3 linked regions of the Xenopus tropicalis genome follow. The protein of the gene in region 3 purifies or fractionates together with the protein of the main gene of each other region. This does not show direct contact. Links are inferred from orthologs where the notes say so. Each region holds a gene or a part of one and is shown on either strand. Other genes may lie near its edges.

Region 1 (3,655 bases), on a different chromosome or scaffold from region 3:
ATCCATATAGGATCGTCATCAGGACGTCCTATATGGTCCTGATGACGATCCTATATGGATCGAAACGCGTAGACATTTTTGTGTAAATAAATACTCGCTTTTTTTCACAAATACCGTGAGTGCTTCCCGAAGGAGAATATATATATACACACACACACACACACACAAAGTATATATCTGTTAGTATCTATGTTGCTTTCATTCTAAATCAAAGAGAAACAGTTAAAGCCAGCGATCTGTATGTTGCAGCCCAATGGCTCCTGTGAGTTGCACGGTTCAGCTAAGGATTCTGGGAGCAGTAGTTATTTAAAATAATTGTCAGCAGCAGAAACACTGGGATATTCTTCTGTCTTTCTTTTCCAGCTTGCTGCTCTCTCTTCTCTAAGGCCTTTATTTTATTGCAAATTTGCTTTCAGGCAATCGCCGGCACAATATACATTATTTACCTGCAGGGGTGTCTTCCCATTCCTATGTCATTAAGTAGACAAATATACTAGCATGAAAGCTGCCATACTGCTGGAATAAAACTAGCACCTCTATTGGGGATAAGGTCATGTAGAAAACATTTCAGTAAGATACCCCTGCTTATAAATACTGTATATTCCCTCTCTAAAGGCCATTTTGGCTGATACTCTTTTTGTGGTCAGTTTTACATTTATAAAATATTTATTTATGTATATTTATCTCCGGCAGGTAATGACTTGGGCCCGAGTGCTGCAGACAGAACTCTAAATAAGTTTGAGAGATTGTCACAGTCATCAGGGTAAGTCATTAACATCTGGTTTTAAGTTGAGGGTCTCATTCACTTTAGTCAGAGAGTAAAAAGATGAAGAATAATTCAGTTTGTTTTGCAGGAAATGTTTTTCTTTGTGGAGAGGAACCTGGAAACATATATATAATTTGTACTTTTATGTTTAATTTGTTATTTTAGCACAGGAACAACAAAGACTGCATTAGGCCCAAGAGTCCTACCAAAACTACCTCAGAAAGGTTAGTCTTTCTACAGTTTGTCTTCTCCTCCTTTCCTTCCTGTGTCTTATATGTAAAATGTGTGTGGGCACATTATCCCTTATAATATAACTCAGCCGTCAGCCTTGTGCCTTTATATGGGCACAGAACCCCTCAGTGACTGCTAATATCCTTATCATTTACAGTAGGGGGTACATTATCCCTTATAATACATGAGTGATACTCATATGTAAAATAGGATAAAGGCTAATTGTCTATACAGTGATTGTTTCTGAGATGTCTCATTATCCTTCTTTGTTTGTCCCCAAAGTGGCACTTAGGAAAATAGACACCACTCATCATCTCTCAATGGATAAGTATAACCAGCAACCCGAAATCTTCCAGAAATCTCCCCAGCCTGGAGATCTGCCTCAGAAGCCACAAATTGCAGATCTTCCTCCGAAACCGCAGCCTTTGGATATCGCCCAGAAACCACACGTCGGAGATCTACCTCCCAAGCCCGGAGAATTGCCTCCTAAACCTCAGCTAGGAGATTTGCCCCCGAAACCGCAAGATTTACCTCCAAAGCCACAGCTGAAAGATCTTCCGCCCAAGCCCAACCTGGCAGAGGTGATGTGCAAAACTCCTGTTGCGGATATAGTCCCCAAACCTCATACCAATGAGGCCAATCAAAATTCCCAGCCGGTGGATGCGACCCATAATGCACAGCCCACGGACCAAACCCCTGTCCAGAAGCAAGTTCCAGAAACTTCCAATAATGGCCCACCGCCTCTTCCAGAAACACCCGTGCCACTTCCCCGAAAGATAAACACAGTAAGTTCTGTGCTTAGTCAGCATTTCGTAAAATGTGCAGATAAATCACAATCAATAATCATAGCAATGAGGTGCCCTACAACCCAGGTTGAAGATCTAGAACAGCATCATTGTCCGGAACAAACTGACTTTTTTTTTTTCTTTTAAAGGGGAAGAATAAGCTTAAACGAGTTAAAACAATATACGACTGCCAAGCGGACAATGATGATGAACTCACATTTGCGGAGGGGGAAGTGATTATCGTCACTGGAGAGGAGGACCAGGAGTGGTGGGTGAGTATCCTGTAACCATGAGATACACTATAGGGTGGGATAATTCTATGATACTGCTGTATATAAGCTGTGGCTAAAGGAATAGCTACGGGTTTGGCACTGTAACTACCACCAGTCACCACAGCCAATCAGCAAAACAATGGGAAGGGAGCTCAGACTAAGGCACACTTTACTGCTGCGCTGCAAGTTGGAGTGCTATCCCCCCTCCCCCCCAGCAGCCGATCAGCAGAACAATGGGAAGGGAGCAAGGTAGCAGCTCCCAGTAGGTATCAGAATAGCACTCAATAGTAAGAAATCCAAGTCCGGCTTGGGACTCCTCCAGTTACATGGGAGTAGGAGAAACAATAGGTTAGCTGAAAGCAGTTCTAATGTGTAGCACTGCCTCCTTCTGAAAGCTCAGACTCAGGCACACTATACTGCTGCACTGCAAGTTGGAGTGATATCCCCCCCCCCCCCCCTTCTCACCCCCAGCAGCCGATCAGCAGAACAATGGGAAGGGAGCAAGATAGCAGCTCCCAGTAGGTATCAGAATAGCACTCAATAAAAAGAAATCCAAGTCCGGCTTGGGACTCCACCAGTTACATGGGAGTAGGAGAAACAATTGTTTAGCTGAAAGCAGTTTGCTAATTATGTCCGTATTTGTGATTGTCTATTAATCATCTCATTTTGTGTATTTACTGCAGATTGGGCACATCGAAGGCTTCCCGGACAGGAAAGGAGTATTCCCTGTGTCCTTCGTCCACCTGTTGACTGAATAATAAGCAAAGCATATCTGCCCCCCCGCTGCAATCCGCTCTGTGCTCCACTCTGTGTATATAAGCTGCTGTTACACAGTCCATTTCATCCCAAACCTTCATCTTGTGCTGAACTCTATATGTGTATTGTCAGTGTACAACGTCCTTCTGCCTTTGCCAGTATTACAGTAGCCCAAGGGGGACACTTGGAAGCCGTCCGTGGCCTCTGGGCAAGCTGTGATCCATCCCTGCCAACATTCCCCATCTGGGCTGTCTCCGTTCAACACTATATATCTGCCGGGGAAACCGCTTCTCCATTGCCCGGACCTGCCAACAAGCCCCCCCCCTGTATGAACACAACCAGTGACTCTAGGTATTTATTGTATCAATGGCAGAATTCCACGTAGATTTTAATTATTGATGGTATTAATGTGCCCTGTGTCTGTTCCCTGTCATTGGCCGCCTCCATGCCGTTACTTTGCTACAAGTAGTACAGAAAACAAAAGCTATATTTCTATCTAAAGACTTCTTTTGTTAGAAGGATATACATATATAAATATATATATACACTCACACACACACATATATATATCTCTAAATGACATTTGCGGTTTGTTTGGTCGGACTCAGACGAATGAGAGCGATATTAGTCTGTTTACATTATGCATGCATTTCTTACCCGATTCCGGCATACTTGAACCTGCCTTTACGGAAACAGGAATTTCATTGTAGCCCTAAATGGGGCCAACGGGGGGAGTCACGGGCCATCGCAGAGATTCTATTTTTTCCCCCCCATGTGAATAGCCACATGGAACAGACAGTGTTAAATATGGCGTCGAGCCCTCTCTCAGTAATAAATATCATTAG
Region 2 (4,173 bases), on a different chromosome or scaffold from region 3:
TCTTGCAAGGTACGAAAAAGTTGCAGAAAATACGCTCAAAGCGTTCGTGTTTTAATAAATGTCCCCCCTAGAGTTGCACAGAGCATAGAACTGATAGTAATTACAGGGTACTCTTAAGCAGGTGGCCCCCAGTGGGGAAACTACCATACAGCAGACCCTGAGACCGCAGGGGAGCCTGGGGAGGGGCCTGGACAGTGGCAGGGTTCTATATATGGCACCACCAACTCCCCATCCCTTGAGCTTCCAGGACTGTTATGGGGTGCAGCTAAGCATGAAAGCCATTTTTGACTTGTGCCAAGTAATTTAGGCGCTAGTGATGTCCTATCTCACTTCATTGCCAAAAAAAAATCACGAAATGGCAAAAATTCACAAAATTGAAGTCAATGGGTTTTGATGGGCATTTTTTTGGCAGAAATAACTTTGCTCATCTCTATCAGGCACTAGTGACATCACTAATGACGCCATTATTCCAAAGACCCAATAAGGAAACCATGCCCTGCCTAGGGATGTTGCTATTATGATGGAATTTTAGGAGGAAGCACTGCAGGAAATAAACATGGCAGATAGCCAGTGGCCTCGATAGTTGCTGGGCATCACAGCAAAATGATTTTAGCCCTCCTTCTCCAAAAAGCGTTTTATCAGTCAGTGCCCCCTAGCAGTGGTACGGTCTGTGTCTGTATAGCCCCGCCCCTGCGGATACCGAGCTCAGTCGTTTGATCTACGGGCAGGCGAACAGACACATTTATGTACATTGTTGCCTCCCTTTGCGCCCCCCGGGCAGCGTATCCTGAGCAGCCCCAGTGTCAGGAGCAGAACATTAACCCTTCTGGGGCGCCACAAGGGGAACTCATGCCAAGAAAGCAAGTTCCAACCGCTGCTCTTTTACATGGGATCGGGGATGAAATACTCCCTCTGTTAAGGCACATTTCGTGGAGCAGAGCGGTGACTGCTAGTTGCCACCCAAAGATGTTCTGCAGCAGCTGCAATGTTTACTGTAGGGGAGAGAGATCTCCAAAAATGAATGAAATGAGCTCAGATCTGCGGTAAAAAGCCTACAATCACTGTCCTGATACTGAGAAGGGTTCTGCCTGGGGGTTATCTGCTTATCAAGGAAGCCCCCCCCCCCCCGCACCTCAGCCGGGCAGAAGGGGTTAAATTCCTAAGGAGCAGGCATCCCGTTTTCCCCCTCTCTGCCTTGAGGCTGTGCAGAAATTCAGGCTTCTGAGAAAATGAAGGCTGACCTCATCCCAAAGCTTAAGGGGGGGGCGGGGTTCCTAACAAAACTCATCCTCCACCCCCCCCCCCCCCCCCCCCCTTTCTCTTTGCTATTTTACCAATTAAGGCTTTCTCAATCTGAGAGGGAGAGAGGAGAGACAGATCAAGGGGGTGTCATTCTATTGACAGGACTACTTGCGAGGCATTCCCCCCTGTACAGAGCAGGACACAGGCTCAGCTGCTCTCCTCTATAGTTTGGGACTCACTGAAGGCAAAGGTAAGGGGGGGACCCAGGCAGCTGAACTGCTCTTCTCTCTGTGTGTGTGTGTGTGGCTTACCTGTGCAGTGTAGGGTTTCTGAACATGTTGTCCCTTCTTTTGGTGCCTACTTTAATGCTGTAACAGGGCTGCAACTTGTATGTCTGACACTGACTGAGTGGGCTGCCTGCACATTGTGTTGACTTTGTTACTTGTATGTCTGACATTGTGGTGCCCTTTGTTTGCTATTTGTGTGTGTGAGGTATAGAAAGGTGCCTGCACATTGTGGTGCCCTTTGAAGATGCCTACACTTGATGTGACCCCATTTATATGTGTGTTTATATTGTGGAACAAGTACATACTGTACTGCTTCATTGGGCTGGTGTATATGGCAGCCGCATACTGTTGGCCCCTAGATGTGCCTATGAGAGCCCCCTGCAGTTTATTGCTGTGCCAGGGTTGCACTGGATTCTGCACTACCTGCACAATGTTGCACCTTAGGTGTGTCGCTGCTGTGACAGTTCTGTGATTGCTGTATAAGTTGCGTGTTGTTGGAACCACTCTACCCCTCATGGCTGGGACAGCTTTGGATACTTCCTGCACATTGTCTTTCTGCACCTAATAGTTGTAACAGTTGTGCTTTGTGTATGTTGGACCGTCTCTAAAGTTTATTACTGAGCTGCCAGAGTGCTTGTTCTGTACTGGGAGCCGGTATGAGAACAAGGGGTGTGGAGGCTGCCGGATAAGGCTGCATTCAGGCGATAGTTTCTGTGAGCCGGGAAAGTGTTTTTAGTGCCTGCATGCACTGGATTTATATGTACTGCTTGGCAACGAGGCTGCAGGGCACAACAAACAAACTGGGAAAAAATACCTACAATTTGCTGTTGTTTCTCAAGACAAAGAGTTCAGCTGGTGACAGTGGCATTGGCAGCACTTTGTGTCCCTTCTGTGACAGCAAACAGTTACTCTATTTATTACTGCCTGGTTTTGACTCCTAAAACATTTAGCTGACAGACTTGGAGGGGATCTGACTTCTACAACACTGTTTCAAGAGTCAGAACCAAACAACAGAAAAGGATAAACAAATACTGCATTTCTCTTAATGCCAGTAAATAATTCTGTATCCTACAATTAACTGCCCCTTTCTTTTACTCTATGGCAAGTGCTTATCTCCCTGGGCATCTTAAGCTGACCATACACGTACTGATAAAATGGTATGAATCCTAGTTTTGTATGATTTTCAGACCGTGTGTGGGCTCAGAATTGTCGCCCTGATAATTCTCTTACTATGGAGATCAGTCGTTTAGCCGATCGGCCGGGTTAGAAAATATTGGTTGCAAAACGATAAAATCTGCACGTGTATTGTGTATCTGACGATATCCTTTGGTTTTAGATCGTTGCATTTAAACGTACGAATGATATGCCTAATCTTTGCCCATACCTTCCTCATTGTGAGTGCACCCATGCAGAATGATGTGCCTCCTGCTGCAACATATAAGCCTGTTAGTCACCAAGTTTCCTGACCATATAAAGATTTTAAGGCAATAAGTGAACTCATAATATCATTATATCACCTTAAGTTTTGAGCATGCACTAATGCATACCTTTAAAGGCTTAAGGGCACTGAATACAAATGATGACATCACCAAGTATAGGGAATAATGCACCCCCTGTTGTAAAACATAAGGATATTAGAAGTCATCAAAGAAACAATGAGCTATAGGTCACAGAACTTTTTCTAATATCCTTATATTTTACTACAGCGGGTACAGTATTTTGTATAATACAAACGTTGCAGTGTCACTCACTGTAACCGGCAGCACTAATTACCCTCCTGTTTGTGTTACCTTCCCATTTAGATCATAAGCTCTATGGGGCAGGGACTTCCACCCTCTTGTCTCTGATTCTTAACTTATTGCAACTGTACCTATTTATTGCATTATCTATTATTGTAATGACCCCCCTGTTTTATTATATTGTATTTAATTGTTGTTTTGCTGTACAGCGCTGCATACATAAGTAGCGCTATATAAATAAAGATATACATACATACACAAACAACATCACTAAGCACCGATTATATCTGAAAACATCACTAAGCACCATTTATAAAGGTATAATTCATGGCTTTTAAATATCATGAATAGAAATTGTTCTGCTGCCCCCAGTGACATAAGGATGCGCAATAGAACCACTTACCTCTGAGAAAAAATGGTTGATAGGTCACTGTCCTTAGCTCTTTTGGATAGGCATTATCACTTAACAGTGTATGGTGGGATATGTTACTAGATACTCGGCATTACTATATCGTAGTCTGGGTTATGTGTCTGGTAAAATTTGAGGGTATGTATTAGTACATGCTCAAAACTTAATTGCTAATATATATATACAGTATAAATGGGAGCTGCCACATTGTTTACCTTTGCAGTTCGGTTAATGTGAACATAGACTCTTATGATAATAATGTCATTGCCATCATACATACAGAACTACAGAATCCCAAGAGGTGGTAAAGCCCTTAACCCCTTCAGTAGACAGCGGCCGTGCCTGCGCCAGTAGCATCATATTGTTGCAGGAAGAAGTTATGGGGAAGATAAACTTATCTTGCAGGAAACATTGTATTTAAAGGACTGTGTTTATGCTCTATAAACATGTCTGAGTGCAGGAACCGCCATAGAACTGCATCAAAGACATACAAAGC
Region 3 (2,992 bases):
AGCCGCTCTGGGATAGATTAGTAACCCTTTCCTCTCCTATCATGGCACAGCCGCTCTGGGATAGATTAGTAACCCTTTCCTCTCCTATCATGGCGCAGCTGCTCTGGGATAGATTAGTAACCCTTTCCTCTCCAATCATGGCACAGCTGCTCTGGGATAGATTAATAACCCTTCCTTTTCCAGCTGAGAAGGACAACTCCGCTTCTGCTCAATAGGTATAAGAAAGGTTTTTAGACTTTTGGGTTGAGGAGGTTATTGTCTGTTCAGTATTTGGTTGGGCCCCTCTCAGCCCATAACAAGATTGCCTTGGCCCGTGTAACAGCCCCCCCCCTCTGTAGCTGCAGGAAAATGCAGAGTCCCAGACATAGTCGTCCTACTTTCCATCACTAAAGGGCTTTATTTTTGGGCCAATCAGATGCATTTAGCGTCTCCTTTTCACACCTGTCTGGTTTATTCATTGGGCAAAGGGATATGTCTGCTCCTCCCTATCCCTTGGTACATTCCCCCACCTTCACTCATTTTGCCTTTTTTTTCCTGCCCATTTCAGCCTGATTGCATCCCATTCTCTTGTTGCGTTGCTACGGGCGCCTCCCCCCCCCCCATGCTGAGCTCCTATGGAACATGCAAAGGGCAGTGTGGAAATGTCAGGCAGTAGAAGGTTTGTATGAGTGGAGCAGACAGTTCATAGATCAATATCCCCGGCCAACTGTACATCAGGCGGCAGTTGCAGTCCCACTGCCATTCTCTGACCTTTTATAAGAGCACGGGGCGGCCGTGCATCCTCCTGTAACTCTTTCATGGCTGGCTGTACCTTTTGTTTTATAGGGGGGTTTGTCCTGTGCACGGTGCTGCCGTGTAAGTGGGTTTTAGTATGTTGCTACGGTCCAGTTTAACCTAGCAACCAGGGAGACAATCACATGGGAGAAAGCCACTCACGACTTTGCTTTTTTGCCCCCAGCCGGCGACGACGAGATCTCCTTCGACCCCGATGACATTATCACAAACATCGAGATGATCGATGACGGCTGGTGGAGAGGTTTCTGCAAGGAGTGTTACGGTCTGTTCCCGGCCAATTACGTGGAGCTTCGTCAGTAAGGCGCCCAATGCCGCCATTATCGTTAGCCGGGGGGGGAGGTGCAACGCAGCGGCATTGCCCCATGAATGGCTACATTGCAGGCTCCTCCCCCTGCGCCTCGCGTTGCCATAACTAAGCTGGATCCTTACACTACAAATCATGAGTTTTTGGAGAGGGTTTAGATTTTTTTTTTTTTTTTCAAATAGCTTTTTTTCTGGCTTTTAAGGAGCAGTTTATTCTGCAGACGGGCAAACGATTCTTTTAATGACTATTAACCCATTCGCTGCCAGATGTGCCTCCGCTCCATTGGACAAATCTTTTTACATCTTTTTACATGGTGCTGTTTCAGCGCCGGGGGGTTTCGGTTCTCTCTCCATTGTTTCCGCAGCGCCCGACTGAGGCTCCGCCTCTCGTTTCTTTTGTCTCACCTGCATTCATTGTAATCAGTGGGTGGTTCTTCTGTCTCCCCCATAATTCTTACCCCCTGGGACACGACCCCCAAATACACAACATTCTACAATTGAGCCGCCTTACTGGGATGGTCAAGGAGACGCCCCTCGTTACCCCCCAAATTTAAATTTATTTGTCCTGTTTTTTTTGCTCTTAGCTTGGCCTTTACCGTGACCAAATTAGCATCATGCGTATTTGCCGACAAAAAAACATACTGTGCGTTCTGCCTTTTTTTAAGCAAACTGAACCGGATCAGGCTGTGATTGGCTGACATGCACTTGTTGTCCCAAGCTCCTCCCCTGATTTAACAACCCCCCATCCCTTTGCCCATTATACCCAACAGAAACCCGTCAGTATTATCAACACGCCATATGGTGCTCCTGCTGAGCTTTTAGGGCAGAAGTGACACGCCTGGACTCCTGGTTACTATGACAACCCGTGCATCTCCCATTAGGCTTTTCCTGTTGGCAGGGAACCATTTCAGAAAGAAGATTTGGCTCCCCCAAAGGGCTGCCCAATCACCTACACTGTCCCGTGTCGCCCTACAAATATGGCCATAAGGTCTTGTAAATTTTTCTTTGCAATTTACATTTTCTTCTAGTTTTCAAAATATTAGCAGTTTTTTTTAACAGCTTCTATAATGAATTTGGGACAACAGTGCCCCCTGCTGGCCATTTCAACCAATCACCAGCAGGTTGTGCTCTTGTTCCACATTAGATTTTGGACCAATGTTTAGGCTGATACTAATTGGTGCGGTAGAGGGCGGTGTGCGCCAAGTAGGGGTGATTTCTTTTTGGGGGGGTGAAATACATAAACGTGGGTGGGTTTTTTTATCCTTAGTTCCTTTTATCTGTTTTTTGCATACAGCACTTCATGTATGATTTTGTAAATGATGCTTCAATAAAGTTTTTTTTTCCAACCATGATACGGGCGATACATACAGATTGATATAGACGTGGGAGCTGCCATATTGAGGGCGCACTTATAGTGTAAGATATATTAAAAAGCTGCTTGGAATTATATTTTCTTTCATTATGCAAAAAAGTTATATTGGGTAAACTTCCCCTTTAAACTGCGCACCACACATGTGATATACCAAGGAATGTGGCTGTACTATTGGCTAAAATAACGTATTGAAGGGACTAGGAGAGAGCAGGATGGGAGGTCCCTGCCCCGTAGAGCTTACAATCTATATGGGAGGGTAACTTACACACACAAATGGGCAAATATAAGTGCTGTAGGTCACAGTGGGTGACATTACAATATAAGTGCCAGTTCCCAGATCAGGGGCTGGGCGAGTGCTCCAAAAGGGAGACTTTTAGTTTGGTTTTAAAAAGACTGGGGGAGGATTCTCTCCGGAGGAAATCAGGGAGGGCATTCCCAATGTGAGGGGCAGCAGGGCAGAAAGGGTTAAGGCGGGAAACTGCAGTAGTAGTGGGGGGTGCAACCAAACGATTGCTCTGCGAG

Evidence for each region.
Region 1: the proteins of cttn (region 3) and asap1 purify together in Homo sapiens (affinity purification with western blotting; 6 studies listed by BioGRID and IntAct, with this or other methods). This does not show direct contact. The link is inferred for Xenopus tropicalis from reciprocal best matches to the Homo sapiens genes CTTN and ASAP1.
Region 2: the proteins of cttn (region 3) and flna purify together in Homo sapiens (affinity purification with mass spectrometry; 3 studies listed by BioGRID and IntAct, with this or other methods). This does not show direct contact. The link is inferred for Xenopus tropicalis from reciprocal best matches to the Homo sapiens genes CTTN and FLNA.

What each region holds. Positions count from the first base shown.
Region 1 is NC_030682.2:142,077,378-142,081,032, reverse strand, and holds part of asap1 (arf-GAP with SH3 domain, ANK repeat and PH domain-containing protein 1), read left to right. Parts: intron 1-693; coding exon 694-763; intron 764-931; coding exon 932-990; intron 991-1,279; coding exon 1,280-1,782; intron 1,783-1,931; coding exon 1,932-2,054; intron 2,055-2,737; coding exon 2,738-2,812; 3' UTR 2,813-3,655. UniProt on the Homo sapiens protein: Possesses phosphatidylinositol 4,5-bisphosphate-dependent GTPase-activating protein activity for ARF1 (ADP ribosylation factor 1) and ARF5 and a lesser activity towards ARF6.
Region 2 is NC_030684.2:31,756,451-31,760,623, forward strand, and holds the start of flna (filamin-A), read left to right. Parts: upstream 1-1,357; 5' UTR 1,358-1,492; intron 1,493-4,173. UniProt on the Homo sapiens protein: Promotes orthogonal branching of actin filaments and links actin filaments to membrane glycoproteins. Anchors various transmembrane proteins to the actin cytoskeleton and serves as a scaffold for a wide range of cytoplasmic signaling proteins.
Region 3 is NC_030680.2:14,584,587-14,587,578, forward strand, and holds the end of cttn (src substrate cortactin), read left to right. Parts: intron 1-958; coding exon 959-1,095; 3' UTR 1,096-2,447; downstream 2,448-2,992.